2 linked regions of the Arabidopsis thaliana genome follow. The protein of the gene in region 1 interacts with the protein of each later gene in a pairwise test. Each region holds a gene or a part of one and is shown in the gene's direction. Other genes may lie near its edges.

Evidence for each region.
Region 2: the proteins of SUC2 (region 1) and AT4G32900 interact in a protein complementation assay, tested with the Arabidopsis thaliana proteins (one large-scale study listed by BioGRID).

What each region holds. Positions count from the first base shown.
Region 1 is NC_003070.9:8,028,788-8,037,755, reverse strand, and holds SUC2 (sucrose-proton symporter 2), read left to right. Parts: upstream 1-4,599; 5' UTR 4,600-4,785; coding exon 4,786-6,042; intron 6,043-6,187; coding exon 6,188-6,251; intron 6,252-6,538; coding exon 6,539-6,582; intron 6,583-6,671; coding exon 6,672-6,845; 3' UTR 6,846-7,169; downstream 7,170-8,968. Other genes in the region: AT1G22700 (Tetratricopeptide repeat (TPR)-like superfamily protein), read left to right, coding at 7,878-8,000, 8,232-8,268, 8,357-8,670, 8,923-8,968. UniProt on the Arabidopsis thaliana protein: Responsible for the transport of sucrose into the cell, with the concomitant uptake of protons (symport system).
Region 2 is NC_003075.7:15,875,492-15,884,145, reverse strand, and holds AT4G32900 (Peptidyl-tRNA hydrolase II (PTH2) family protein), read left to right. Parts: upstream 1-3,104; 5' UTR 3,105-3,166; coding exon 3,167-3,208; intron 3,209-3,780; coding exon 3,781-3,981; intron 3,982-4,263; coding exon 4,264-4,324; intron 4,325-4,396; coding exon 4,397-4,433; intron 4,434-4,522; coding exon 4,523-4,600; coding exon of another isoform or gene 4,601-4,604; exon of another isoform or gene 4,605-4,608; intron 4,609-4,727; coding exon 4,728-4,800; coding exon of another isoform or gene 4,801-4,815; exon of another isoform or gene 4,816-5,034; coding exon 5,035-5,074; intron 5,075-5,152; coding exon 5,153-5,202; 3' UTR 5,203-5,577; downstream 5,578-8,654. Other genes in the region: AT4G32910 (nuclear pore complex Nup85-like protein), read right to left, coding at 1-6, 119-220, 332-488, 586-623, 715-825, 925-1,125, 1,207-1,326, 1,459-1,515 and 5 more; GATA9 (GATA transcription factor 9), read right to left, coding at 7,531-8,238, 8,330-8,548.

The sequences.
Region 1 (8,968 bases):
CTTATGTTTCTCGGACCATACTAGTTCGAATCTTGGATCCAATATATTTTGCCAACTTCTTTTTTTTGTAATGAAATTTTTTGCCAAGCTCTAACAAAAACTGCTAAAACTATTCCATTTCAAAATGTTAAACTTTGGGAATTTTTTTTTGTGTTTGTCCATGTTTGAAATGCATGGAGAGTAACGAGTAAAAGTTATGCGACATTTGTACATGTTTCCGAGCTAATTATTGTAAACGAAGTAATCTCACATGCAACAACATGTGTAAATAAACTCCAAAATCAACAAACCTCTCGATTTTGATAAATTCAGGCTTCTTAAATAAATAAATAAAAACCTACACGTATCAACGAAACGGAAAACGTAACTTAATTACTCATCACTGATATACGAACAATGAGACTTTGTCCGTTAGTCGTTTACTTAGGACACAACAGTTAAAATCTCTTTCAGTTTGTCAAACAAAAGTCAACCAAGTCTCTTCTCTTTTCCGACAAAATGAGTCATTAACGGAGTCTAACCGCTTTCCTCTGTTTGGTTTATCTCCGAGTGCGCGTAAACTTCACTCTTCCCATTGGCGACGTGTCAATCTCTTTTTTTTCAAACAAAAATAAATTTATTCGTCAATAATTCTTTTTCTACCGACCATTCTGATCCTTTTTATTTATATATTTTTGTAATAAAATTATTATCAAAGTTTATGTTTAGTCTCGCTTTTGTTATCCTTTTTTTTTAGTTTAGCTGTGATCTCCCTTTTGTCATGATTATAAGTTTGGTGTTACTTACTTTTTAAAAGAACAAAAAAATAGAGAAATATTTTTAACTCGATGAACACGTCTTGCGAATTTAAAGCATCTCAAAATTTCTTTATTAATTTTGCTAAAAATAAATATAATAACACATATTCAAGCCCTTTATTATGGTCGGATATTTTTCCAAAGCTTGAAGCATTCATTCTAATTAATACTATGATTTTTATATAGAAAAAAAATCAGCATTGGGAGTATCGAACCATGCAAGAGTTGAAATATAGAGAAGAATTAATTCGTATTAGCTAAACGACGAAGCTTTATTGTCAACCGAGAAGTTATAACGATCTAACTTTAACGCATGTAAACATATTATAATGACATCACAAATATAAACTTATTATATAAACACTTGAGACAGATAAATAAATATACTACAGTACTAATTATTTAGAGAGAGTAGCCGTTAAATCGTTAAAATGGATAGTTACAGTAGCCTCCCATTTTAACCCAAAAAAGAAAAAGAGTAATAATCAACTTTGTCATACATTTATTTGCCACAAGATTGTTAATCCCTAGAACCGCTAACACCACGTCATTCGAAATCTCTGAGTTATTATTAAATGAATTCTCTATAACCTTTTCTACTATTTTATTCTTCTTTCGGTCAAATTTATTTTCAAGTTAATAAATCCTGATATATTTTGGAGTACAATTTATACTTTACGTTTTGCCCTACTTTGGAGTGTTTTTAGAGCTTTTTTCTTTCTTTTTTTCAAAGTGGACGACTGAAACATGTAATTCATGTTTGTGATACTGATTAGGAAAATTTCATAAATCTAAATCGCCAACAATTTTTAATAAAATACACACGGCTGTTTCGAAACTTTTTCAAGATACATATCGATTAAAATTTCAAATCCGAAAAATAATGGTTTTTATGATATAACTAAACCGTTGGACTAAAAATGGGCCGAAATAACATGTTAATATTAACGGCCGCAAACTATTGCTTGATCCGCTTGGCCCATTGGACGACTTTGTTTGTAAATGTCCGAATATTTTTTCAAGATATTTATGTATTTGGTACTTCAAATCTAGTACCCAAGCCTTAGATCATTAAAATTTAGAACTCAGTATATAACTAATGCCATTTTTTATTTTTGGATTCGATATTTTTTTTTTTAGTGTAATATTAAATTATATTTAAAAAAACAAATATACGTTTTTATAATTTGTGCTTCGTATGTTTGAAAAAGTAAGCTCTAAAGATTTCTGATGATTTTTCGAAAATGTTTAAAGAAAATGTTTAAACAAGCTAAGAGTCGAGGTTAACTAGTCATGGGAGTGAATCCAGTTTTAAATAGGCATCGTCATACTGCTTGTCGCCTAATAATCGTATTGCTGAAATCAGATTTCGAATTTGTTTATCAACCCATATGGTGATACCCTTTATATTATGATCCCACGCACCTCAAAAATTTCGGCGTTGGATTCATGTCACTCCTAGCTAGCAACCTCAGGGCTCGCAGTATCCCATTCGTCTTAATTAGTTAAGATTTTTTTTAAAAATTTATTTTGTTCAGTTATTATTCATTTCATTCGAACGATTAAACAAAGATTATTATGGTCTCGTGATTTATATGTTGACCCTTCTAATATTCTAAATTTAAAAATAAGAAAAAAGAGGAAAATTGAGGCAAAACACATGTTGCCGAGTCATTATCAACTAGGGGTGCATAATGATGGAACAAAGCACAAATCTTTTAACGCAAACTAACTACAACCTTCTTTTGGGGTCCCCATCCCCGACCCTAATGTTTTGGAATTAATAAAACTACAATCACTTACCAAAAAATAAAAGTTCAAGGCCACTATAATTTCTCATATGAACCTACATTTATAAATAAAATCTGGTTTCATATTAATTTCACACACCAAGTTACTTTCTATTATTAACTGTTATAATGGACCATGAAATCATTTGCATATGAACTGCAATGATACATAATCCACTTTGTTTTGTGGGAGACATTTACCAGATTTCGGTAAATTGGTATTCCCCCTTTTATGTGATTGGTCATTGATCATTGTTAGTGGCCAGACATTTGAACTCCCGTTTTTTTGTCTATAAGAATTCGGAAACATATAGTATCCTTTGAAAACGGAGAAACAAATAACAATGTGGACAAACTAGATATAATTTCAACACAAGACTATGGGAATGATTTTACCCACTAATTATAATCCGATCACAAGGTTTCAACGAACTAGTTTTCCAGATATCAACCAAATTTACTTTGGAATTAAACTAACTTAAAACTAATTGGTTGTTCGTAAATGGTGCTTTTTTTTTTTGCGGATGTTAGTAAAGGGTTTTATGTATTTTATATTATTAGTTATCTGTTTTCAGTGTTATGTTGTCTCATCCATAAAGTTTATATGTTTTTTCTTTGCTCTATAACTTATATATATATATGAGTTTACAGTTATATTTATACATTTCAGATACTTGATCGGCATTTTTTTTGGTAAAAAATATATGCATGAAAAACTCAAGTGTTTCTTTTTTAAGGAATTTTTAAATGGTGATTATATGAATATAATCATATGTATATCCGTATATATATGTAGCCAGATAGTTAATTATTTGGGGGATATTTGAATTATTAATGTTATAATATTCTTTCTTTTGACTCGTCTGGTTAAATTAAAGAACAAAAAAAACACATACTTTTACTGTTTTAAAAGGTTAAATTAACATAATTTATTGATTACAAGTGTCAAGTCCATGACATTGCATGTAGGTTCGAGACTTCAGAGATAACGGAAGAGATCGATAATTGTGATCGTAACATCCAGATATGTATGTTTAATTTTCATTTAGATGTGGATCAGAGAAGATAAGTCAAACTGTCTTCATAATTTAAGACAACCTCTTTTAATATTTTCCCAAAACATGTTTTATGTAACTACTTTGCTTATGTGATTGCCTGAGGATACTATTATTCTCTGTCTTTATTCTCTTCACACCACATTTAAATAGTTTAAGAGCATAGAAATTAATTATTTTCAAAAAGGTGATTATATGCATGCAAAATAGCACACCATTTATGTTTATATTTTCAAATTATTTAATACATTTCAATATTTCATAAGTGTGATTTTTTTTTTTTTTGTCAATTTCATAAGTGTGATTTGTCATTTGTATTAAACAATTGTATCGCGCAGTACAAATAAACAGTGGGAGAGGTGAAAATGCAGTTATAAAACTGTCCAATAATTTACTAACACATTTAAATATCTAAAAAGAGTGTTTCAAAAAAAATTCTTTTGAAATAAGAAAAGTGATAGATATTTTTACGCTTTCGTCTGAAAATAAAACAATAATAGTTTATTAGAAAAATGTTATCACCGAAAATTATTCTAGTGCCACTCGCTCGGATCGAAATTCGAAAGTTATATTCTTTCTCTTTACCTAATATAAAAATCACAAGAAAAATCAATCCGAATATATCTATCAACATAGTATATGCCCTTACATATTGTTTCTGACTTTTCTCTATCCGAATTTCTCGCTTCATGGTTTTTTTTTAACATATTCTCATTTAATTTTCATTACTATTATATAACTAAAAGATGGAAATAAAATAAAGTGTCTTTGAGAATCGAACGTCCATATCAGTAAGATAGTTTGTGTGAAGGTAAAATCTAAAAGATTTAAGTTCCAAAAACAGAAAATAATATATTACGCTAAAAAAGAAGAAAATAATTAAATACAAAACAGAAAAAAATAATATACGACAGACACGTGTCACGAAGATACCCTACGCTATAGACACAGCTCTGTTTTCTCTTTTCTATGCCTCAAGGCTCTCTTAACTTCACTGTCTCCTCTTCGGATAATCCTATCCTTCTCTTCCTATAAATACCTCTCCACTCTTCCTCTTCCTCCACCACTACAACCACCGCAACAACCACCAAAAACCCTCTCAAAGAAATTTCTTTTTTTTCTTACTTTCTTGGTTTGTCAAATATGGTCAGCCATCCAATGGAGAAAGCTGCAAATGGTGCGTCTGCGTTGGAAACGCAGACGGGTGAGTTAGATCAGCCGGAACGGCTTCGTAAGATCATATCGGTGTCTTCCATTGCCGCCGGTGTACAGTTCGGTTGGGCTTTACAGTTATCTCTGTTGACTCCTTACGTGCAGCTACTCGGAATCCCACATAAATGGGCTTCTCTGATTTGGCTCTGTGGTCCAATCTCCGGTATGCTTGTTCAGCCTATCGTCGGTTACCACAGTGACCGTTGCACCTCAAGATTCGGCCGTCGTCGTCCCTTCATCGTCGCTGGAGCTGGTTTAGTCACCGTTGCTGTTTTCCTTATCGGTTACGCTGCCGATATAGGTCACAGCATGGGCGATCAGCTTGACAAACCGCCGAAAACGCGAGCCATAGCGATATTCGCTCTCGGGTTTTGGATTCTTGACGTGGCTAACAACACCTTACAAGGACCCTGCAGAGCTTTCTTGGCTGATTTATCAGCAGGGAACGCTAAGAAAACGCGAACCGCAAACGCGTTTTTCTCGTTTTTCATGGCGGTTGGAAACGTTTTGGGTTACGCTGCGGGATCTTACAGAAATCTCTACAAAGTTGTGCCTTTCACGATGACTGAGTCATGCGATCTCTACTGCGCAAACCTCAAAACGTGTTTTTTCCTATCCATAACGCTTCTCCTCATAGTCACTTTCGTATCTCTCTGTTACGTGAAGGAGAAGCCATGGACGCCAGAGCCAACAGCCGATGGAAAAGCCTCCAACGTTCCGTTTTTCGGAGAAATCTTCGGAGCTTTCAAGGAACTAAAAAGACCCATGTGGATGCTTCTTATAGTCACTGCACTAAACTGGATCGCTTGGTTCCCTTTCCTTCTCTTCGACACTGATTGGATGGGCCGTGAGGTGTACGGAGGAAACTCAGACGCAACCGCAACCGCAGCCTCTAAGAAGCTTTACAACGACGGAGTCAGAGCTGGTGCTTTGGGGCTTATGCTTAACGCTATTGTTCTTGGTTTCATGTCTCTTGGTGTTGAATGGATTGGTCGGAAATTGGGAGGAGCTAAAAGGCTTTGGGGTATTGTTAACTTCATCCTCGCCATTTGCTTGGCCATGACGGTTGTGGTTACGAAACAAGCTGAGAATCACCGACGAGATCACGGCGGCGCTAAAACAGGTCCACCTGGTAACGTCACAGCTGGTGCTTTAACTCTCTTCGCCATCCTCGGTATCCCCCAAGCCGTAAGTATCTCTCTCTCTGTTTTTTTTTTTGTTTATCCATTGGCTAATTATTTTAGTACTATATCTGATTTGTCGTTTATAATAAGGAAAGAAGTAAATCAATAACCTAATTTGATGAATTTTTTTTCATTTTTATTAACTGCAGATTACGTTTAGCATTCCTTTTGCACTAGCTTCCATATTTTCAACCAATTCCGGTGCCGGCCAAGGTAAATATTCTATTTTTGAGCTTTTTATTTAATCTAAAATTACCCTTTTTGTTTTGGATAATCAAAGTCGACAATCTTCTTAAAGTGTTGGGACCTAAAAAAGCTAAAAGCATTTAATACGTGCAGATTCGTAATTTAATAACTTATTGAGAAGATTCTATAAGTAACCAATATTTATATATTCGTTTGAGTGACCATATATACGCGATATACCAAATTTACAATTTCTATAGCCTACGAAAATTTGTAATCTTGATTCCTAAAGCTTTTTATCTTTTCTTCCACAGGACTTTCCCTAGGTGTTCTGAATCTAGCCATTGTCGTCCCTCAGGTAAAAACCCGTTTAAAATCAGTTTTACTTATTTTCATTTAGGAAAAATTATGACTAATATATATATTTGGTTTCTTGGTTAAATATAGATGGTAATATCTGTGGGAGGTGGACCATTCGACGAACTATTCGGTGGTGGAAACATTCCAGCATTTGTGTTAGGAGCGATTGCGGCAGCGGTAAGTGGTGTATTGGCGTTGACGGTGTTGCCTTCACCGCCTCCGGATGCTCCTGCCTTCAAAGCTACTATGGGATTTCATTGAATTTTAGCAGTGGTTGTTTGGCTCTCTTTCTCTCATAAAACAGTAGTGTTGTGCAAATCCTACATAAAGAAAAAAGAAAAGGAAATTAAACTCATTGGGTTGGTTTGTATTTTACCTAAACCCACGAAGTTCCTTTTTCTTTTTGTAACTCAATTTAAATTTGGAGTATATTTTACTTTTTGTTACCTTCAAGGCTTCAATATTACGACTTCATTGTTCGGTAATAAATACCTCATAAGCTACAAAAGATTATGTAACGATTTAACACAATTATTTTTTTAACAAACAAAAACAACGATCTAAACAGTTCATATTAACTGATTTGATAACTTATTTCACAAAAAAAGTATATGCGAAATACTTACAAAATATCTTTACATTTGATTGTACATATAAAACCAAAACAAGTTTTAAGATGAATGTGGCTAGATACAAAAATTAACGGTGAAATAAGAGCATTCTCGATTTATATGTTTTGTTTTTATCTATTTTAGTTAATTCTTTAATCAAGTTGTTTCACATTTGTTTAACCTGATTTTCCCGTTTCCAATGGATAAACTCGGATTATGAAAGTAACTTGATGTACATGTTTGGTAAGCTTATTGGTCAAAGTATGACAAGCCTTTTCCCCTAAGTATGATAAGTTTTGGGAAATTTTCAGAAAGCACACTCTTTTAAGTTTTAGTTTTTAGATGTATATAACATAACTAATAACATGTATCAAAAGAAGTTTGGAAGAGTTTCTTAATTATTTGTTAAGGTTCTTCCTATATATATATATTCTGAAAAATTCATAAATCTTCCCTAATTAAATAAAAAAGATCCATTAGATAAAACCAAAATGAAATAATATGTAGATTTAAACCGGAAGGTACTAAACCGGAAATTGGAAGAGGCAACGTGGGCCTTATCTTCTTCTTCTTCTTCCTGCTAGATTTTATTCTTTTATCTCTTGAGCACACACACACATACAAGACTCTCCTCACAGAACGATTTAGATTTAATCGGGAAAAAGTTCAGTCAGTGACACTAATGTTCGAATCGAACATGGTTCTTCAAACACTATCTTCTTCTTCTCCTCCAATTCACCGTCTCTATCTTCACCATTCTCAGATTCTCCCTTCTTCTGGGTCACCCAGCAAGATTTCTCTTCAGGTAAACACTCCAAGTTCCTCTCTTTCGCTTCACCCATAGTTTACAATCTCACTGTACTCTAGGGTTTCCTCTGTTTTTTCCCCAATCAAGAATTTTGATTCGTAAATTGTTCTTACGATAGAAGAAGATTATGTGGAATCTGAACAAGAACAGAGTCAAAATTTACCCTTTTATTTTGTTCATGAACTTGCTAATCTTCCTCCTTGTTTTTGAACTTGTGGATGAAGGCAGATACATGGAAGGACTTTGGCCATTCGATCTTTTCATGGTACTTCACTTCTTCTTCCCTGCTTAAAGTTTCATACTTTACTATACATCTAGATGTTTCTGCTTGAGGTTTAGATTGATAGCTTTAGATTATGTCTTTGCAGAAATTTCTGCTAGAGGTTTACCGGCTTTGAACAAAGCTTCCTTGAAGAAGCTACCAATCAAAGGATCTACCTTTCTGCTGGGGCAGAGCTTGTTGATGGTTTCTGCTCACCCACAGTTGGCAGCAGCAGCAGAAATCATAAAGCCTGAACCGATTTACGAAGTTGGAGAGTTATTTGAACTTAGTATTCAGCTTTCTTACTTGCTGTTACTACTGGGGTTGCTTGGAGTTGGTACTTTCTATGTGATCCGTCAAGTACTTGTACGCAGAGAACTAGACCTCTCCGCTAAAGAATTGCAGGTACCAGACAATGTGCTCTTTGTGGTAGAAAACAGTAGGATAAGTAACTGAGATGGAACGAGTCTAGAGTAGAGATGTAATATTGATGTCTCTCGTATCATTGTCTGTCTCTTATCTTTTAATGCTATTCACATAATAATTGTAGATATTATGAACATTAGACTTATTTAAGTAGCTATGCTTGCTCAACGTTTTTGTTAATTTGATCAAATCTGGATGCTATGGTTCTATTGTTGTCTTTATGACCTGAAGGAGCAAGTAAGGAGCGGAGATGCAAGTGCAACAGAGCTCTTTGAGC
Region 2 (8,654 bases), on another chromosome or scaffold:
TAGGCTCTGCAACAGGAGAAACATAAGTACCAGGTGAAGGCTTCTGACAAGATCCTAGAATTGTAAACGACAAACCAGAACTAGAATTGATGTACAAATGCAACTGAAATAATGAAACCTTAATAAGCATCTGATTCTCTTGAACAGGCTGCCTGTAGAACAACAGCTCTAATAAGCCTAATCCCTGTTTCTCGCACGATGCTAGATAAATAGGAGCTATCTGCAAATTTCAAACACAATATGGAAGAGTTTGATATAACAAGAAGCGCAATAAGAAAGGTGCCGATTTGATTACAGGGAAGGTACTTGATAAGTCATAAAAGAAAGGTACCTGCCAAGTCAAAGCATGAGAAGAAAGAACTTGAGCATAAACAAGTCTATGGAGCTCTTCCATGTTAATTCCACCCAACTTACGCTGTTCCTCATGTACAAGAACTTCTCCTTCTTCGCTTCCAGCTGTCAATAATTCCATGGCATGTGCAACCATCCTAACAAAAACATGAAAAGTCTCGTCCTGATTCATATAGATAAGAGTATAGCGTACTCAATAAACTTAGTAACCAGAAACAAACATCGCCTGCCTACCAGGAGCCAAATTCTTTGGAACACTCTGCCAGAACAACCTGCATCATTTAATTACACCATGCTGGATTAGAAAGTGGCGAAGAGCTGAAACAGTTGCACCTCTGACTAGGTATAAGATGTACTACTGACCTCAGTATTTTCTCCAAGAATTCCAATAAGCAGTCTTAGAAGCTTATGGGAAGTGTTAACTGGCTTTGACTGAACACACTTCTGGGCTAGGCTATGCATGCCATCTAATCCCTGCAATGCAAAATGGTATTAATTTGATTTTCAAGTTTAATATTAGAATGATAGCAAGACTCGAATTTAAATAGACAAACAGCAGGTAAAGCAATCCACCTTCGTAAATGGCCTGAGATAAAGAAGATGTGAAACAAAAAGCTCCATCCAGTTACATGTCGCAGCTCTGAGGCAATCAGCATTTCCTATCATGATCTTCAACATATTTCTCAAGCCCTCACGGGTCTGATGGTGAGCACATTGAACCCAGAAGGCACTGCACTCTAGTTTAGTTATCTGAGACTGCCATCTTTCTCGTGTCTGGCAAAAACGGCAAGATGAGTCTAGACACATAATCAGATACAATAAAAAGAGTTAGAATGATACATGTTTCTAAAATACCTTCATAAAGTCAGGCTTTGCTGCAGAGCATTCACCAAATTTCCCATCTTCTAGTTGTGGCCGCATTCGTGGCATTTTTGAAATGAGAACAGCAACCGCTTCTACCAAACCATTTTCTGTCTATTTCATTAAATTTGTATTACATTATGAATAATCAGAAATCTGTGCATATACAAAAGTACTAGCACGTAGCTAGTCACTTCATATGACATAAATCCCAAAGGACCTAAACATGAACAACTTCATTCTAACCTCACGATGTCCCAGCTGGTCTAGTTGATAAGAACCATGTAGGTGTAACAACTTCACCTGAAAATAAAAAGTATGGGCAGAACATTTCTCAAATTGTAACATTCAAGATCAAATTACAAAGAACCCCCAATCCCAAAAAAAAAGTACTAACCACTATTTCTAGCCAACCAACTGATAAAGCAGAAGCCATCACTTCCCAGTATCTTGGATCATCCTCGATGGCCTGCAATGGCACATAACCCCGTTAAGAAAGTCAGGTTCTTCAATCACTTATTTTCTGAGAACTATCGACTTCTTAGAGATGAGCAAACCTGCAGGCCAACAAGTTCCTTTTGGAAATCCTGGAGCTTTGAGTAGATTGTTGGATGTGAGCTAGAAAGGAGTATATCGTATTCCTGCCATGTTATAAATGGTAGGTAAGAAAACACTAGAAGTTTAAAAAAATAAGATAGCTCAAGTGTCGAAGGTAAAAACTAATTACAGATAACCAATCAACGAGCCGTTCTGGCAACCAAGACAGACATGTCTTATCTGCATAAAATAATTCCATCAACTCCCACGCAGCCTTTAAAGAAGTTGGTTCCTCAGCATTCTGCATATGTATGTTAACAGGAACATCCATTAACAAAGCTCCACACTCAAACCTATACCTCACTCGCGGAGGAGTTAAATTTACAAGTAAAGTTAACCAATTGTAGAACCAGAAAGACCAACGTACCTTTATAACTGATCTCGGGTCTTCAATCAAAGGAGCGGGCAAAGATATTGTATTACTAAGGAGAGATTTAATATCTCTGCTGTATTCCATTACGTACTCCCACCTGATTAAAATTACGACAATCCAGAATTGCTCAAACACGCTTTAGAAGTCTAATCATAAGATAATCCAAAACAGTATTTCAGTATTGAATGGGCAAAATCTGGGAATTTACAAAGAAGATACTCACCACGCAGTCTGATACAGAGAGGAACTCATATCCATCTTAGACAAACTGGAAATTGAGTTTCTTCTGCTCTGCAAAAGCGCGAACGGAGATACCGATCCATAAGCGATCCTTCGCCACTGTGGGTCACTGATTTCGCCATCCTCGCCGCTAAGCCTAACGTTTACGACCTTACCACCAACTTCTCCGTCGTCATCATCGCGTAACTCTGGATTCCTTAAAACCGTGACGCGTAGGTTGTTTCCGCAACCCCAGGAGATGGAGAGCCTGTGAACCGGAGACTTGAGGCCATAGCTTAGAGGATACAACACCGGAGTTTTTTCCTTGGTCGAAAACAGAACCAATTCTCCACCGCCAGATTCCGAAGACATACCCGGCATTTTCGGAGCTCCGATGGTAGAAATGGCCGTTAGGGTTTTAGATTGGGGTTGTAGCTTTTCCGGAGGGAGAAGAACTGAAGTGGAAACAGACCAACAAAAAGGAGCGACGACAGTAAAACGCACCGTGTGTTCGAGAGATATTCTATAGTAATTACATTAGTAGCTATATACTGTTAAAACTTTTCTAATTGGACCATGTATTTTTCCAGAATGTACATTAAGCCCCAAACAACGCGTCGTTTTGTAATCAGAGATATGAACACCCTGACGTTTACGGTTACTAAGGCTGCTCTTATCTCCCTTCTTCATCATACTCATGGGCATTCGATTTTAAAGGCTTAGCTTTGTTCCTCTGTCGCCTTGGAGAATCTCCAGAAGCGTATCATGTGGCCTTCGTCTCGAAACTCTTCGCAGCCTCAAGCTATGGTATTGATTTCGACTTATTTTCCGTCTTTTCTGTTGATAATTTGTTCTTAGTTTTGTTGCTTCTTTTTTGTCAAAATTTATCTCGGGCTGAGGAATTGAGTCTAGTTTGATCAAAACTTCCGAATGGCATCAGTTGGCTAGTGAATTGGAAAACTTGAAACTAAACAAATTACAAATTCTGAGCTCTTTCTTCTTTTGGTTATTGATGTAAGATCAGTTAAGCTCAAAGAGTCAAAGTCTGATTCTTTCTTAATAGTGTACTTTGCTTTAAGTGTAAGTGTTTGGCTTTATAGTGCACAAGTTTCTTATATGTATGTCTATGGTTGATTTGGCAAATAAAATTGAGAGATTTGTGGTGTAAATTTGAATGTTTGCCTCTCAGTTCTCACCACCCAAACGAGAATTTATCATGTTTTTGTCTCTAAAATCTTACTGAGACTGCAACAAACGAGCTTATTTACTCGGTTGTTTCGGTCATGTTCTGAAATTTTCTTGTAGCTTACTAAACCAGCATTCTTGTTGGACAGTTAAAAATGTATCATTGTTTTTTTTTTTCCGGTGAATATGATCAGAGACAAGAAAAGAAGTCGATATCTGTGAGTTTTAGAGCAGAGAATCTCATACCAGGGGTTGTGATAGGATTCATCATAGGTATGATATTGGATTTATCACAGCAAGTGACCTCCCCAGTGAAAAGGAGCAGACTTTTATCCAGCAAGGTCCAGAAGCAGAGTTCTGTACCAGGCAATGGCAAGGACCAAGAGCTTAAAATGGTTTGTCTATCATCTAGTGTAACGATAGTCTCTTGTCTCTGCCCCTAGATTTTATTGGTTTGGAGTAAAATATTATAACTTAAATCCTTATAACAAAACCTAGTGATAATGCAAGCTGATTTATGTTCCAAACCCATCAAATGATTGAAATTTTAGCTTCATAAAAGAGACTTGCATAATCTATACAAGGATGGTGATGAGTTTTCAATGATGTCAGATTTTTAGATTACAAGTTAAAATCAGAACATTTGTGTAACTAATTTGAGCTTGTTCTGATCACAGGTACTGGTAGTTAGGCAAGACTTGAAGATGAGAACGGGCAAAATTGCGTCACAGTGTGCACGTAAGTGTCTTATGAAATGTGTTTGAAATTTGAACACTGGAAGTAAAATGACTTTCTTTTTAATATTCGCAGATGCTGCCACCGGCATGTATGCAGAGTTGATGCAGAGGTAATTTCGTCTGAAATGAGTTGTTTGCTTTGTATGATGCATCAGTCCGGGGTTTATGTTTTTTTTTGTTTTCATCTTAATTCTTTCAGTGACCGATACCTTCTGCGGCGATGGGAGGAAAATGGGCAGCCAAAGATAGTCGTCACTTGCAAAAACCAGCAAGAAATGTAAGCAGGTGAAAATCTTGGGGGATACAAACAAAACGCACTTCAAGACATATTATTACTTTACTACAAATGTTAATAAGTTGTCTTCAATAAATTTGAAAGCTACATTTATCTTTTCTGCTCACAGGAATAAGATCACAGAGGCTGCTGAGAGCGTTGGCCTCCCGACTTTTGTTGTAGCTGATGCTGGAAGAACTGAGGTTTGTCGTGCTTGATCAATTATTGAGGCTGAAAGTATAATCAGAGCTCCTCCTATTCAAAAGAAAATCTAAAAGTTTCTACTAATCAAATAGTTAGAACTATAGAAGACATAAACACCATCCGACCTATTGAAACACGAAAAGACTGCTCTTGAATGAAAATTATTTGTGAATTTTCTGTGGTAGTAGTACGCTAACAAGTTTCTCTGGAAACTAAAACTCTTCCTTTAACAGGTTGCGGCTGGATCAAGAACAGTTCTTGCAGTTGGACCTGGTAGAGACAATAATTTTTTGAAATTCGGTTTTAGCTAAGATGTTGTTCCTCAACATGTTCATTACTTTTCTTGTGCAGGACCAAAGGAGTTGGTTGATTCCATAACTGGTAGGCTGGCTTTACTCTGATTCAGGAGCTTTTTCTTGGCGTAGTTCCTCTGGGATTTTGATTTCTCCAGGATTAAGGTTAATTCAGGCAAGGCAATGTTGTTGTGTAATGATTATTCAAGGTACATGTTAGATTTGTTGTTGGTTAATTTGCTTGTAGTAGTTCTTCCACCGGTTTTTTGGAGTTGAATTCATGTAAATTTCGATTACATTCTGACACTTTCAAGTTTTTACCGCTGTAGTATAGGGTATTGGCTTCCAAAACCAAAGTAACAACCAGAATTTCATAGTTAAAATAACAATATTTTAACTAATAAAGGAAACATTCTCATATACATGAGTGCCAAGATTGATCGGTCTAACCGATAGCACTGGGCTATATTGATCCCTCGGCAGTCAATAGTAGACTTCCACAAAAACTTGAATAAGTTAAAATTTTAACAGTGTATTTTTTTTACAAAATAAAAGGTTAATAAAAATCATAATCGTGGTATATATATTATTTTGGTCGTTAATATTAATCTTTAAAAAAGCTTAAATAAATCGTCATATCATTTATTTTCTACTCTATTTGTAATAGGCAAATTTCTTTCGATCAAAGATCTAATATTTTCCCTGTACTGATATGTAATGATTTTTAAGAGAATCTAACAATACTAGTTGTTCTGACTCTCTCGTAATTGAAAAAAGCTTCCGGACATTACTAGAAACGTACTGTGACGGTGACACCTTTTTCCCGTCGTACTACCTCAATTTCTAGTACGTACATGTCTCAGTGCTTTTGTTAGAAATGATTCTTATTAGTGTTTTTACTTATGTCTATTTCGTTTTGTATATAGTATATATGTGTGTTTATATAGCTTATATCGTCCTTCTCATGTTTTAAGTTTTATATTCTTTCTTTTTTTTTATGTAACATATAGGGTGACTTTGGAATTGATTTCTTTTTGATACTTTCTTTGAGTGACGTCGAAGTCTTCCCCAAAGTTCAGCTCGCTACGTTGGACCGTTATGATTCCACATTATTATATATAAATATCTATATGCATCACATGGCATACTGTATACGCAACATACTCACATGACTCCATAATATTTAGATATATGTGTGCTTTTACGTATTCTTTTCTTTTCTTTTTGGATATGATATAAACCAACATAAACAACATTATCTAATGTTTAAAACCAAATAATCATCAATGTTTATCAGTTTCTAAGTTATGTTTGGATGGTAGTTAACAAACAAAAGAACAAACAGTGAGAGAAATTTCGACGAGTTTTAGTATTACATATCTCATTTACAGTGGAATGCATAGGCTTTTGTAAAAGGAATTCAAGGCAGCCTACCATTTGGTAAATTACTGAATTTTCAACGTGTAAAGTTGAATGGAGTGATAAGAATTGTTTGTGCATAGAAAAATCTAATAATAAGGATCGCTTAAACCAAAAGAAATTAGACATTACAAGTACAGTCCGTGGACCTTTACCTATATATCTCTATCAAAATAAAATATTGAATGTTGGTTAAGAAGAGGACCATTTTGATATTATAGCTATATAATACTACACTATACATCATAAATTCGCCCACTTGCTGGTTAGGTTTGCATGAGAATGCATGTGACGAGCACCTCAATCTATGCTCCATTTCCCTTTATTTAAATTAAATAATATTTCTATATGACTTTTGTGCTGTGCAAATTTGTATTTGTCCCTTTACTATACTAAATATATTTCAGATTAATATTACAGCATCAGATTTCCTCGAATATTGTCAGAATGTAAAACGTGAAAGAAGTTAAAATTCAGAGAATAATTAAGTTTGATAAATTATAATAACCCATCTGTGAATAATTATTAAGCTTCCGGATCCCAGTGTTTTGGGTGAATAAGAACGTTTTTTACTTTTTTATTTGAATTTGATTTTAAATTGAATGGAATATATTGTTCTTAATCACACACGACGATTGCAACCAAATTCATAACACGCTTAACACTTTATGAAAATAAAAACAGTAGAGAAAGGGAAATAACAACTATTTGGAATTTTTTATTTTGGGTTCTAGTTGGATTCAATTATTTTCGTGACTAGTATTAAAAACCAGAAATAGATTGATATGTATATCATTAATTAACTCCTTTATTTCTACCATATTTCTCTTATTTTATAAACTTTCTAATTAAAATTTCGGGAAGTCGAAGAGCAAAAACAAAAGCTATCAAATATATCAATAGTACTAGAAGTAGTCTGCAGAAAATGAAAAACAAATGTTAAAAAGGAAAAAAAAAAAAATAAAGCTAAACGAAACGAACAAATTATTGCGAAATTATCCACGTGGAAATAGAAAACTAGATTAAGTGTCTAAAATCAGGAGCCACGTGGTTAGTATTATTATGCATTAAGAAATCTTCACCGTTGGATCTGATATCCATCAGTAGATTCTCACACCTAAGCTGACTCAGCAAATGCTCGTCTCTCATCTCCTTCTGTCGCCGGAGCTCCATCACTTTCCGGTGAGAGTTCGAGTGCCTCGCCATCACGAACGTCGGACTCGACGCCGGTCTATACTCCGGCACGAGCCTCCCTGATTTGTACCTCACTCCGCAAGCGTTACAAAGCGTCTTCGGACCCATAGGTCCCGTCCTCCATTGCGGCGTCTTCTCCGTCGCGCAGTGCAAACAACGTCGTCCTCCTCCGCTTTCTCCGCAATCCACGTCCATATCTCCGGCGAAGTCTTGTTCTTTCACTCTTCGTTGTTTCTTCTTGGGATTGGTTTCGTCGGAATCGGCTAAGGATAAAAGACGGGAAGCCCACGTGGAGGCTGCAGAACGTGATCTCTTGCTTCTGGCCTTGGCAGGAACGGCGACGTTGGATTCATCGATGTCGATGAATTGATGATCAAGTTCGGGTTCGGGTTTAATTAAGTGGGTCAGGGTCGACCCGGTGGTTTGAGGGTTTTTTAAACCGGAAAATAAGTGAAGCTTGTCTTGGTCTTCTCCTGCGAATGATTCTTCCACAAAATTTGATAACCATTCTAATTCTGCTATATCGTCATTCTGATTAAATAAGAAGAAGAAGAAGAAGAAAAAAGTGTTACTATTTCATAAATATTGGCGTGGATTTGAGAAAATAATAACGGAAAATTACCGGAATATATAGGTCGGAGAAGCCAGTGCCGTCGGTGAAAAGCGAGGAGGAGTTGGAACTGTCGGTGAGAGTGCCGGTGGAGAGTGTTGAAGAATCGGGAAGAGTGTTTAAGCCGTCGTCAACTTCGCCGTCGTCGTTAGAGAAGTCGAGGAGGTCGTCGACGACGAAAGAGTCCGGGTTACCGGCGACGAGGAAGAGCTCCGGAGCTATCTTTTCCATCAAGGCAAAACAGAGAAGGTTGGAATTGGAAATTAAGGAGCGGAGAGAATAGAGAAGACGAGAGAGGTGAGGTCTATTTTTGGGGTTGTGTAAAGGAGAGTGATGT